Linked DNA regions of Ovis aries. The protein of the gene in region 1 interacts with the protein of each later gene in a pairwise test. Links are inferred from orthologs where the notes say so. Each region holds a gene or a part of one and is shown on either strand. Other genes may lie near its edges.

What was found. The genes of interacting proteins can lie anywhere in the genome.
Region 2: the proteins of ZBTB9 (region 1) and TSR2 interact in binary tests that used the Homo sapiens proteins (3 or more experiments, as listed by UniProt). The two-hybrid records come from large-scale screens. The link is inferred for Ovis aries from reciprocal best matches to the Homo sapiens genes ZBTB9 and TSR2.

The regions. Positions count from the first base shown.
Region 1 is NC_056073.1:7,780,488-7,786,589, reverse strand, and holds ZBTB9 (zinc finger and BTB domain-containing protein 9), read right to left. Parts: upstream 3,581-6,102; 5' UTR 3,439-3,580; exon of another isoform or gene 3,332-3,438; intron 3,152-3,331; exon of another isoform or gene 3,077-3,151; 5' UTR 3,071-3,076; coding exon 1,682-3,070; 3' UTR 545-1,681; downstream 1-544. UniProt on the Homo sapiens protein: May be involved in transcriptional regulation.
Region 2 is NC_056080.1:52,469,036-52,475,249, reverse strand, and holds the start of TSR2 (pre-rRNA-processing protein TSR2 homolog), read right to left. Parts: upstream 4,148-6,214; 5' UTR 4,133-4,147; coding exon 4,049-4,132; intron 3,886-4,048; coding exon 3,795-3,885; intron 847-3,794; coding exon 755-846; intron 197-754; coding exon 23-196; intron 1-22. UniProt on the Homo sapiens protein: May be involved in 20S pre-rRNA processing.

The DNA of each region.
Region 1 (6,102 bases):
CACTGCCACACTCTGGCAATGGAGGTCTTTGTGAAACCTCTGGTGATCTATAATAGGTTCTTTACTCAGCTTCCTTTGTGCCACTACAGTAGCGTGTACTGTCCCCCATCATGGACTTACTATACCACACTGTCATTATGTCTAGCTTTGGTAGTAGCTGCAAACTCTTCAAGGTTAAGAGTGTAAGTCAGGGTTGAGTACAGTGCTTTGCAATAAATGTTGAACAAACCAAACAATACACATAATATATGAGGTCAGGAGGCAACATTATAAAATCATGTGAACAATCTCTAAAATAATAAACAAAAAACAAAGAACCAGTTAGAAGGTACATAACACCCCACCCCTCAAAACAAAAAAGGCAGGTGAGGACTGAGAATCTGGTCCACCAATGTCCAGGATTGTGTTCTCTGCATCAGCATGAAACTATCTGGTTCTTCCCCCACTGACATAACCCAGCTGCATAAGGAAGACATCCAGGTCTTCGCAACTCTTTTCACATGTTCTCTCCCATATAAATGACTCAATTCAGTTCATAGTTAGCTTAGATTTCATGGCAAAGTTTATTTGAAGAAATAAAGAAAACTACGACAATCTCCCCATTCCAATATCTACCCTTCTGTGTGTGGACCAAGGGGCTGTAATGTGGGTGAGGATGGACAGGGAGGAGGTATGGTCCCACTGTGCAGTTATTTCTCTAGTTTTCAGCATGTGCCATCTCAGCCCTGAGTCCCTCTAACCTCGGCCTCTTGTTCAGAGCAGTGGCACTACCCTGAGAGTATTTTATTTTTAGGTCAATGGCCATCTCCTGAGTTCACTGATCACACTTCAGTCCCTGTGATCAATATGAGTGATAAGTGGTGGTCAAAGGTAGACAAGAGGCACAGACTGTGGAGGGAATACCTCTATTAAAGAGGGTTCTAAGTGACTCATGGAATTCTCAATTTGTTAAAGCGCTCAACTACAACATACAAAATAAAGGTGTTGAAAAAGTACCTACTGGTGAGAAAGTAATTTATAGACTGAAGGGTTTCCAGAAAATCATAACAAAAGAAAAGTATATAAGACCTTTACTCATAAAATTTCAGCAATGATGAGGGAAAAGTAAAGCTTAGAGCTTAGTCTCTGGATTACTAGAACTCTGAATCAAACACATCTCTAGATGGAGACCAGCTCCCTTAACTTCTCATAGAGACTGAATTAAACATTTATCATAATTTTTCTTGCTCTAACTCCTCTCTCATCAAATAAAACTTCTAATCTGAAATTTAATCCAGTTTCCTGTATGAAAGGATCGATTACAGGCAACTGATCAGTATATCTAGGGCCTGTAAACCAGTCTCCCGGAGGATAGTTAGCAAAAACCTGGAGATGAGAAATCAAGTTTTCAAATCTGTCAGGTTGAGGCCCACATCCAAGAAGAGATCCATAATATATCTATCCTTGTGGAATAACTAACAAGATATGACGTTGCTGCTAGTCCAGTGGTTAGGACTCTGCACTGTCTACTGCAGGGGTGCAGGTTCAATCCCTGGTGGCATGCTACGAGGTATGGCCAAGAAAAAACCACCAACACCAACATCAAGATACAGGATTAGGGTACTGTGGTAGTGAGCGGTAATAAGTATCCATCAGCAGTAGTGGCTCCCTTGTCCTGAAAGTTAGCATATGGCCTTAGCAATCACTTGTAAGTCCAGTGAGCAGTGGCCCAGCCCTGACCCTTGCAGAGGTCCCTATGGCGAAGGAAACAGGCATGGACTCTGAACCGGCGACCACAGTGAGGACAGGCATGTAGGGCTCCAGCATGCGTCTTCATATGCTCTGTCAGGTGGTGCTTCAGCTTGAAACGCTTGTTGCAGATGCCACAGCCAAAGGGTCGAAGGCTGAATGTCAGCATGATGTGCCGGTCACGCTTTGGCTTCACTGCAAAGCGTTTCCCACACAAACAACCAAAGCGTTTTCCATCTGCAGGGGGAGCGCCACCTAGCTTCACAGGCCCATGCACAGCCTGCCCTACTCCCCCAGGTCCCCCACCCCCTGATAGGATTTCATTCCCATGAAGATCCACTGGTTTCCAGGATGGATCACCTCCTCCAGATGTTGTCCCTGCTCCTGAGGGCAGCAGGAACCCTAGTTGTCCATTCTCTTCAGTGTTCCCTGCTGGAAACACTTTGGTCTCCTCCTTTGCTCCTACAGACTGACTTCCGCCTCCAGCTATCTCCTCCTTGGACTCAAAGGGTTCCTGCTTGATGTAGAAGATTTTGGGGGGCAATGCAGTATGAGGAGCAGGAGGCTCAGGTGGGGCACTCTCGCCCTCTGGAACTCTGCAAGGAATAGTGGATGTGGGCAGGGGGTAGGATACAGGAGGGGGAGGAAAACTCCCTGATCCTCTCTGAGGCTGAGGAGTCTGACAGGGTGCTGCTGACCCTTGGTCCTCCTCATCTTCTTCCTCATCTTCCTCTTCAACCTGAAGCTGTAATATATCTCCCAGTTCACTCCCCTCCCCTCCAATCGAGCTCTGGTTAGAAGCAGAAGACTGTGCCGGGGTCTGGAAAGGAGAAGAGCGGATGGACCAGCCTCCTGTGGTGGAAAGAAGTGTGTGGAAAGGGGCTACTCCTCGGGACGAAATCCCACCACCTGCGTTTTCCAGTTCTCTAAGGATCTCTGAGCACTGATCTACCACTTGCCACATCTGCAGGCCACTGGCCACAAGAAGGTGTGCAGGGAGAGCATCCAGGGGCAGACGGAGGTGCCCCGAATAAATGAGCTGGAGCAGCCCCTCGAAGGCATCGGCTTCGATAACGCTGGGTAGGGTGAGACGCGGTGCATCCCCCAGAAGTAGTTTGTCGTGGAAGTAAGGAGAAGCGGCGGCCAACACTGCTTTGTGGGCCCTCAGTTCGCGGCCCTGCACCAGGAGAGAGACGTCACAGAACTTTCCCTCCAGCCTGTGGCGGTTCAGGGCCTCCAGCAGCAAAGAACTGTGCTGAGGGAACTCGATCTGGATCGTCCGTGGGGCTGGGTTGCAGGCTGGGGAGGGGGCTACAGGAGGCAAAGGCGTCGAGGTATCCATGGCCTCCTGGGGAAGAAAGAGATCCCAGAGGGTCGGGTACAGGAGGTGAGAGGGCGGGGGAGAGCCCCTGCGCGACGAGGGCTGTGGAGGAAAGAAGGGGTCACAGAAGCTGTGGATAAAGACAATCGTATCTCCCCAAGCAACGTCCGCCTCCGCTGCACCCCAACGTGTGGAACTTTTCGGTAGCCGGTGGTTCGGGCAGAACAGTCCCACACACTCCCCCGCCAAGAAAACGAAAACAAACCACAACAAAACACCAACCGGGGATTGAACTTGAAGGGCCTGTGGCGAGGAGGAGGTCCTTCAGCCGCGAGCCGGATCCCGCCGGCCCGGTCGGCTTCTTCCCACCGTTCCGCTCCCCAACTCACGTGCCCGCAGAGTCCAACTCCCTGGCAGGTACCCGGGGACCGCGAGCGCCAGCCACTTGGCCCTTCCTGTCGCCACGCCCCCACGGGTACACACGCGGTCCTGCGTCCAGAGCGGCTCTGCAGCAACCGCGCCGCCTCGGCCGGAAGCCGCCTCCTCCCCGCCGGAAGCGGACCCCCGGGGAGTTGGGCGGGGCCAGGGAGGCAGCCAATCGGAGGGCGCCGGCCTACAAGCCTCACGTCGATTGGTCATGCCGGCGAGAAGGCGGTCCTGGCGGGAGGCAGTACACCCGGCTGGGGCCGCAGAGGGGATGAGAATGCGCAGGCGGTACCGAGGGTGCCACCAGTGAGCCGTGCCAGTGATTAAATGTAACGCCTGCCCCCGATGGGTGCTGAGATTAAGAGGACACCTAGCGTATTAGGTATTGTTCATATCACCTTCTATCCCACGCCCCCTCCCCCGACCCGCCACCAGCGAGGTAGGAGTTCCCATCCTTTCCTCAGGGGAAGCCGAGACGGCAAGTGCTGGCTCAGGGGCCGACTCCACAAGGCTGAGGCACCAAGTTCTTTCCTCCGTTCCGTACGGGAGCACTTTAACCAACAATGAAATAATCTTCTCTTCTAGGTAATTACTTTTAAGGGACATGTAGATGTACACTTATTTTTTATCAGATACTGCTGCTGTTCCTTAACCTCTTTTCTCTTGGGGTTAAGTGGCGCAATGGTGAGACACATGGGGGAAATTTGGCCTGTGCAAAAACCCCTACTCAAAACAATCTTGCTAGTTGGGAGAGCGATATTCTAGGGCCAAGACTATGGCGTCACACAAGGATACAGAATTTCTCCCAAGCTGTCAGCTTCCTCAAAAAGCAGTTCCTGTCACCATGCTGATCCTCCGGGAGGTCCGAGACTAGGAAAGTCAGCACCGCGGTAAAAGAACAATCTCCGTTTATTAAACATGATTTTTCTGTTTCACCACACACTCCAGAAAAAAAGGAAATGGGGCTGGGAGTGGAAGGGGCAGTGGTGGGGGAGAGAGTAGGCTGGGGGTGGGGTGGGGTGGGGAGGGAGAACGAGAAAACAAAATAAAACAGGTAGGAAGAACATCTCCCTACCCTTATTGGGGGAGAGGGAATCGTGGTGGGGAGGGGGCCAGGAAGCGCTGTACAGAGGGGTTGCCCCCAGCCCACACACACACACCCCGGATATGTACAGTACAAATCCCAGATAATTACAACAGCCAAAGAAGAGAGGAAAGGAGGTCCAGGGGTAGGGTCTGAGGTTGGGAAAGCAAGGAAGGGCACAGGGATAAAATTTCACATATTTACAACTTTTATATAAGTATAAATTTGGCCCCGGCTGGGTGTCTGTATGTAGGGGTATGGGACTGAAGGGGAACTGTCCATACAAAAGAAAGAAGGGTGGAGTCTGAGAAGTCTCAATACCAAACGCAAGAAGGGATGAGGGGGCAAGGCTGGGTAGAGGACAGCAGTCAGGGAAGAGGGGGTGCCAAGGAGGACCTTCTCTCCTCCTATGACCGACCCACCCCAAACCCCATCCATCCTACCTCCCCTATCCCGCCAGAGAGCTATGTACAGAGAAACACCGAAAAATTGTGGAGCTGGCGCTGGCGGGAGGGAGAGACGTGGAGGGAGATTGGGGGGTGGGGAGGATGAGAGGGAAGCCCAGCCCTGTCCTACCTCCCCCAGGGGACAGAGTCATGGAAGGGGGCCCCCAACACCCCTCCTCCAACACAGGTCCCCCTGCCCTGGGGGAGAGAGACATGGCTTTTCCTAGAGTAAGTTCCCCCCTCCCCCTGGGAGTAGAGACCAAGAGGTGGGGGGCAGGGGGGCTGTGTGTGTCAGGGTAGGGCAGATCAGCTAGTCTGTCCTCCCCAACATACACCCCACTCCTAAACCCTAACCCCTCCCCTGAACCTCAGTTCCACCCCACCCAACACACTGGGGGAGGGGGGGGCCTGAGCCCCCTCACCCCGCTCTGGGACCAGCCAAGAGCAGATCAGGTATGGGAAGAAAGGGAGACAAGTCCCATTCCCCCTTTGCCGCCCCCTCCCTGCCCGGCGGCCCCTCCACCCCATCTGGGTTCTGGGTGGGGAGGGAGAGTATTTGAGAGTGGTAGGAGGAGAAGGAGTTTGTGCGTGCTGAGCCCCCCCAGACGCTCCTGAGAAATCAAGGGGTAATAGGACCCCCTCACCTGGGGCCCCTCCCCATAACAAGGGGGACAGGGGAGGCCAAAATGGGGCGGTGGAGGGGAGTTAGATTGTCAGCTCTGGTTACTGCTAAAAAATCACCCTGAAGTTGAAAGTTTGGAGGTGCCGCACCCCCAGGGTGGGGGTGAGGGTCTGTCCCCCAGTGCTCAGGGGAACGATGAGGCAGAGGATGGGGATAGCACCCCGGAGTGAAGGGGTCTGTGTCCTGGGGCAAGGGTCCTGGGGGTCACAGGGGACAGCACCCCAGCAGGAAGGAAAAGGGGGCAGCTGAGGGTCCCCGCTCTCCCTCCCAGAAATGGTGCAGTGCGGGTGGGGGACTGGTGCCCCACAAGGAGGCGTTCAGGGAGGCGATCCCGCTGTCCCTCGGCGACGTCCAGTCCTGGTGGTCGGTGCCGTTCCAGGGTGGGGTGCACAAGGAGGGAGGAGGAAGTCTGAGA
Region 2 (6,214 bases), on another chromosome or scaffold:
CCAAGAGTTGCACCCCTTTCACCTCCATCTCCTCCACGCTGTTTGCATCATCGTCCTCATCGGTCTCTCCGGCTGTCGGCAGTGCAGTGGCTCTGACCTTGCACTTTCTTTGGGTGATGAGAGAGGCCATCTCCTTCAGAGCAGCCCTATCACCCCTCTGGAAGTGGTGGAACATGGTCTGCAGCTGCTGGCTCACCTACCAAGAAAACATTCAACCAGCTTCGATTTTCTAGAGAACCTACAATACAACCAGCTTGTGTTTGCAACAAGAATGGGGAGGGGTCTAGAGTTTTCCAGAAGAGAATGGGGATCTTTCCTCCCCCAAGGAGTTCACTAATGAAGCAACCACATCTGAAGGGCTCATTAAGGGCCTGAAGTGTTGAAGGAGGCCCTCCTAGCACAGAAGGCACTAGAACTGGGTTTGAAAGACAGAAGACGTAAAAAGGAAAGGCAATCCTAGGAGGAGTAGTGATGTTAAACCAGAACATTTAGAAATGTACCTGCCTGGTGTGCCCCTGAGATGGAGGTGACAAACAAACCTGACTGAGAATGATACATGGAGAGAAACAATACAGGCAGGATTTGAAAGGCCTGGGAAGACTAGACTTTCCTTTAGGCAACAGGGGGTCATAGCAAGTTCTTGCACAGGACTCAAGAAAATGGTTACAGCCAAAAGTGTTAATCTAAAACAGACAGCTAGCGAGAAGAAAGGCTACAGGCAGGAAGATGGTAGTTGTATCCATGACATGCTCACCTGGGGCAGACTCCCATCCTCCACAACCGTATCAAACTCGTTCATCATTAGCTCCCCGAGGAAGTCCTCCACCTCATCTAGCTCCAAGTCAGCTGAGTATGAAAGGATAAAGTCCTCTGGTCAAAGACCAGCCAACTTCATCACCCTTGCCCACTACTCTTAAGTACCTACTTGGTGGATCCACATCTGATTGGTGGGTAAAGATTTAATGAGACTTTTATTTGCTAAAGTGTTCTACATTCCAGGTTTTAACATGATTAAAAAAAAAACAAACATTAAATACCTAATTTCCAACCTTCTGCATTCTACCAGGTCCTCTATTCCTACAGCATTCCATCCACACTCACCCTCTTTTTAGCTGGCCTATTTTAACCAGCCTCCTCTCCACGTGACTTTGAACATGTGAGTTACTCATCTCCAAGACTGTTTTCTCTTCTGCAAAGTGAGGTTAATGGTAACCTTCTTGAAGGTCTGTTATGAGAAGTCACCCAAACAATGCCTAGCACAGGCATTGTTTGTTTGGAACAATGGAAATCCATGTTCATTTCCATTACTCAAGGGCTGAAGTTATTGAAATGTAAAGACTTCACAACTGTGGTTCCACTGACACAGGAGGCCACAGACCAATGGGATAGGTAAAAAGAAACAGATGTTCAGTACTTGCCATGATGACCTCAGTACTTGCCATGATGACCTCAGTACTTGCCACAGCCTTGACCTCAATGTCCTATTGTATGACTTTAGCTGAGACTTCCTCTCTCAGCTTCAGTTACCTTATGGGCCCATGCTCTACTTTTTCTGAATTAGAAAAAACTCAAGAAAGTCTTCCACAAAGCTCCTTGCTCTCTATTCCCTCTGGGAGAGCTCATTCACCCTCTTCACTTTCCCTACCATTCTGCTGCTGCTGCCGCTGCTGCTGCTGCTAAGTCACTTCAGTCGTATGCGACTCTGTGCAACCCCATAGACAGCAGCTCACCAGGCTGCCCCGTCCCCGGGATTCTCCAGGCAAGAACACTGGAGTGGGTTGCCATTTCCTTCTCCAATGCATGAAAGTGAAAAGTGAAAGTGAAGCCACTCAGTCGTGTCCAACTCCTAGCGACCCCATAGACTGCAGCCTCCCAGGCTCCTCCGTCCATGGGATTTTCCAGGCAAGAGTACTAGAGTGGGGTGCCACTGCCTTCTCCCCCTACCATTCTAATACCCCCCAAATCAGTCTCCAACCCAGGCTATGCTCCACCTGTTCCACAGGTGCTTCAGACCCTCCACATCCAAAGCCAGATTCATCATCTTACCCTCCAAACCTAATTTTCATTCTCCAGTGTTCTTCTAGTCCATTAAAGGTACCTAAGCCACCCAGTGACTCAAACTAGAAACCTGCCCCATTTTTCCTCCCTCTCTACAGTCAAACAATTTCCTTTGAGCCATCCCTTCTTTCCCATGACTAATGCCCTAATTCAGGCCTCATCATTTTCTAGACAGACACAGCCCTCTCCTTAGTCTTTCCCTCTAAAGTCCATGCTCCACACTGACTACTTTCTGAACTTTCTAGCCAGAAAACCCCATCCTATTAGATCCTGCTCATGAATTTTTAATCACCTAACTGTAGTGTTTCATATTCTGCTTTTGAAAAATAACTGGCCTCCTGGATTTTAAGGGAAGTTATTCAAAGAAAACTAAAGGGAAACAAAGGTAAACAGGTTTCTTTTCAGTGGTTCTTGTCCTTATCCAAGCCTTTAATATGTTAATAATTACTGTGACTCTTAAGAGCTGAAGAAAAGAGCTTTCCTTATATAATTTGACTGGAGAAGCTTTTTCTTCACTGAACATCTAATAGAACTAGTCTTCCAAAGCATGCATTCTGGCAAACGCTGGCCTAAAGGACAAAAATCAAAGGCACATAAGTCCTTCCATGTCTCATTCATTTTCCAGTGGCTTCCCCATCTCCCATCTTCATTCTCCACCACTCCTCCCTTCCACATACCCACAAGCACACACACACATCCCTACTCTAACACTGAACTCTCTGCCACTTTCCAAATATAACACATAATCTCCTCATACCACAGGACTTATTTCTGAATGTTGCTCTCTCTGCCTCCCCTCCTTATTAACTCCTTTCTCATCCCTTAAGATTCAGCCCAATCACCACCACTCCCTAAAGATCTCGGAAAGACGCCTTCTCCCGAAGCTCACATTACCCAAGCATCCTGAGCTCCTCATTATTAGAACACCTATCACCCTGTCTGCAAATGCCTATTTACTTATCTGGATCTCTCACTAGATGGTAAATTTCCTTGAGAGAAAGGACTCCGCCTAATGTCACCTCCAAGACTAAAAAACTAAATGAAGAATTCTGTAAAAACCTTATTTCGTAAAAGACTCCCTGTAGGACCCTTTGTTCTTATACGACTCTCAAGACGCATCAAAAATGTAGATCTCTGCTGTCCAAATAGTCAAACGTACTGAGCACTTAAAATGTGGCTAGGCAAAAAAACAATGAGACGTGCTAAAACTGCAAAATACCCACCAGATTTTGAAAATTTAATACTAAAAAAGGTTGTAAAACATCTCATTAACAGCGTTTTATACTGACTACATGTTGAAACATTTTGGATCTATTGAGGTGAGCAGTTCATTTCATCTGCTTGTTTTTACTTTATTAACGTGGCGGCTGAAAATTTTTAAATTACATAATGCGACTAACATGTTTCTGTAGGATCACGCTGGTGGATACTTTTACATCCATTTTACAAATTAGTAAACTGAGTATTGAGGCGGGGCGATAATACTTGTCCAGCATGATACCCGGAGTCAATGGCAACGGCCACGAGGCATTCGAACTCAGGATTCTAACTTCAAAGCCTGCGTTCATTCCACCTCGCCCTCAGGTACCAACCGACAATTGCTCAAGAAATGCGATTCAAAAAATAAAGAAAAATTTTTAAAAAATTAAAAAAAAGAAGTGCGTATTCACTAGGATCGGCGGCCTCCTCCTCCTCAAGCCCCCACAGAGAAGTCCCAGAGCCTTACATTCACTCACCATTGCGGAAGAAATACTCCTCCACTGCACCCCCCAGCCACTCAGCCTTCTCTTGGCTGTGCACACCTCCGAAGCCGTTGTCCACAGCGATCTGCGAATACAGACCCAAGCCCATCACGTCAATCGGGGAGCCCGCCTGCAGTGGCGCAGAATTCCGCTGTTTATGCCGCCCAACCAAGCTTCAGGCGGCTCGCTAAACCAACTCCTGTTCTCTAACGGTCGCTAACCTTTATCCCAACCGCGGCTCCGCTCACCTGCAAGGCGGGCCAGGCCTCCAGCGCCGCTCGGACTGCAGCCCCGAAGAGCGCTCGCACATCTTCAGCAGCGCCCGCCATCATCCGGCTGCGGACCACATGACGCCCAGGCGGGCCAATCCCTGCGCAGTATCGCCCAGACAGAAGGAGTCGAAAGCCGAGCCTAAGAATGCAGATTCGCCTTTCCGCTGACCTGGTAACAAGACAAGAGTAATAGAAAAGTCTGTCGAGGAATCGATGACACCAACACTGTTCAGTTCTGTTCAGTTCAGTCGCTCAGTCGTATCCAACTCTTTGCGACCCCATGAATCACAGCACGCCAGGCCTCCCTGTCCATCACCAACTCCCGGAGTTCACTCAGACTCAGGTCCATCGAGCCAGTGATGCCATCCAGCCATCTCATCCCCTGTCGTCCCCTTCTCCTCCTGCCCCCAATCCCTCCCAGCATCAGAGTCTTTTCCAATGAGTCAACTCTTCGCATGAGGTGGCCAAAGTACTGGAGTTTCAGCTTTAGCATCATTCTTTCCAAAGAAATCCCAGGGTTGATCTCCTTCAGAATGGACAGGTTGGATCTCCTTGCAGTCCAAGGGACTCTCAAGAGTCTTCTCCAACACCACAGTTCAAAAGCATCAATTCTTCGGCACTCAGCCTTCTTCACAGTCCAACTCTCACATCCATACATGACTACTGGAAAAACCATAGCCTTGACTAGACGGACCTTAGTCGGCAAAGTAATATCTCTGCTTTTGAATATGCTATCTAGGTTGGTCATAACTTTTCTTCCAAGGAGTAACCGTCTTTTAAATTCATGGCTGCAGTCACCATCTGCAGTGATTTTGGAGCCCAAAAAAATAAAGTCTGACACTGTTTCCACTGTTTCCCCACCTATTTCCCATGAAGTGATGGGACTAGATGCTTAACCTATAATTAAATCTAAGGAAGCCAGGAGTGGTGGACGCCTATGTCCATGAATTCGGGACACAGGGTACTGCACAGAGAAGATGTGGGGAACTTATTAAGGATGCAGATTTCAGGCCCTTGGACAGCAACCTCAGATAGCAATGCCTACAAATCTGCATTTAATAATGTATCCAGAACACTCCACCCAACAACAGCAGAATACACATTTTTCTGAAGTGCAAGTGGAACATGTTCCAGGATATGTTATCTCCTAAAGCAGCCCTCAATAAGTTTAAAAGGATTAAAACCATACAAAGATTGTTCTTCAACCACAGTGGGGTGAAATTAGAATTCAATAACAGAAAGACATTTGTGGAATTCACAAATATGTGCATTTTAACACACTTCTAAATAACAAATGAGTAAAAGAAAAAAAATCACAAGGGAAAACAAGACATCTTGAAATAGCTTGAAAACTAAGGCACAGCACACCGAAATTTATGAGGTGCAGCTAAAGCAATGCTTAAATGGAATCTTATAAACGTCCCTATTCAGTTCAGTAGAACTGATGCAAAAAAAAATTTCATTACCCATTCATAATTTAAAAAATAATAATAATAACAAATGAGTAAAAGGAAAATCACAAGGGAAAACAAGACATCTTGAAATAACTTGAAAACTAAGGCACAGCACACCAAAATTTATGAGGTACAGCTAAAGCAGTGCTTAAATGGAATCTTATAGATATAAACGTCCCTATTAAAAAAGAAAAATCTTAAATGAATAGCCTGATCTGCCACCTTCAGAAACTAGAAAAAGAATAGAGTAATCCCAAAGCAAGCAGAAGGAAGGAAGGAAATAATAAAATTGGAGAGGAAATAAATGTAACGGAAAGTAGGAAAACAATAGAGAAAATCAGTAAAACCAAAAGTACTGTTTTTAAGAAAGATCAACAAAATTGACAAAGTTTCAGCTAGATTGACTAAGTAAAAAAAGAGAAGATTCAAATTACTGAAATCAGGAATGAAAAGTGACATCACTCCCAACTAGTCAAAAAAAACCATATATTTTATGGTATCATTTATCTGAAATGTACAGAATAAGCCAATCTATAGAGACAGAAAATAGATTAATTGTTGCCTAGGAGTAGGGGACAGAGAAGGCGATGGCACCCCACTCCAGTACTCTCGCCTGGAAAATCCCATGGACGGAGGAGCCTGGTGGGCTGCAGTCCATGGGGTCGCTGGGAGTCGGACAGGACTGAGC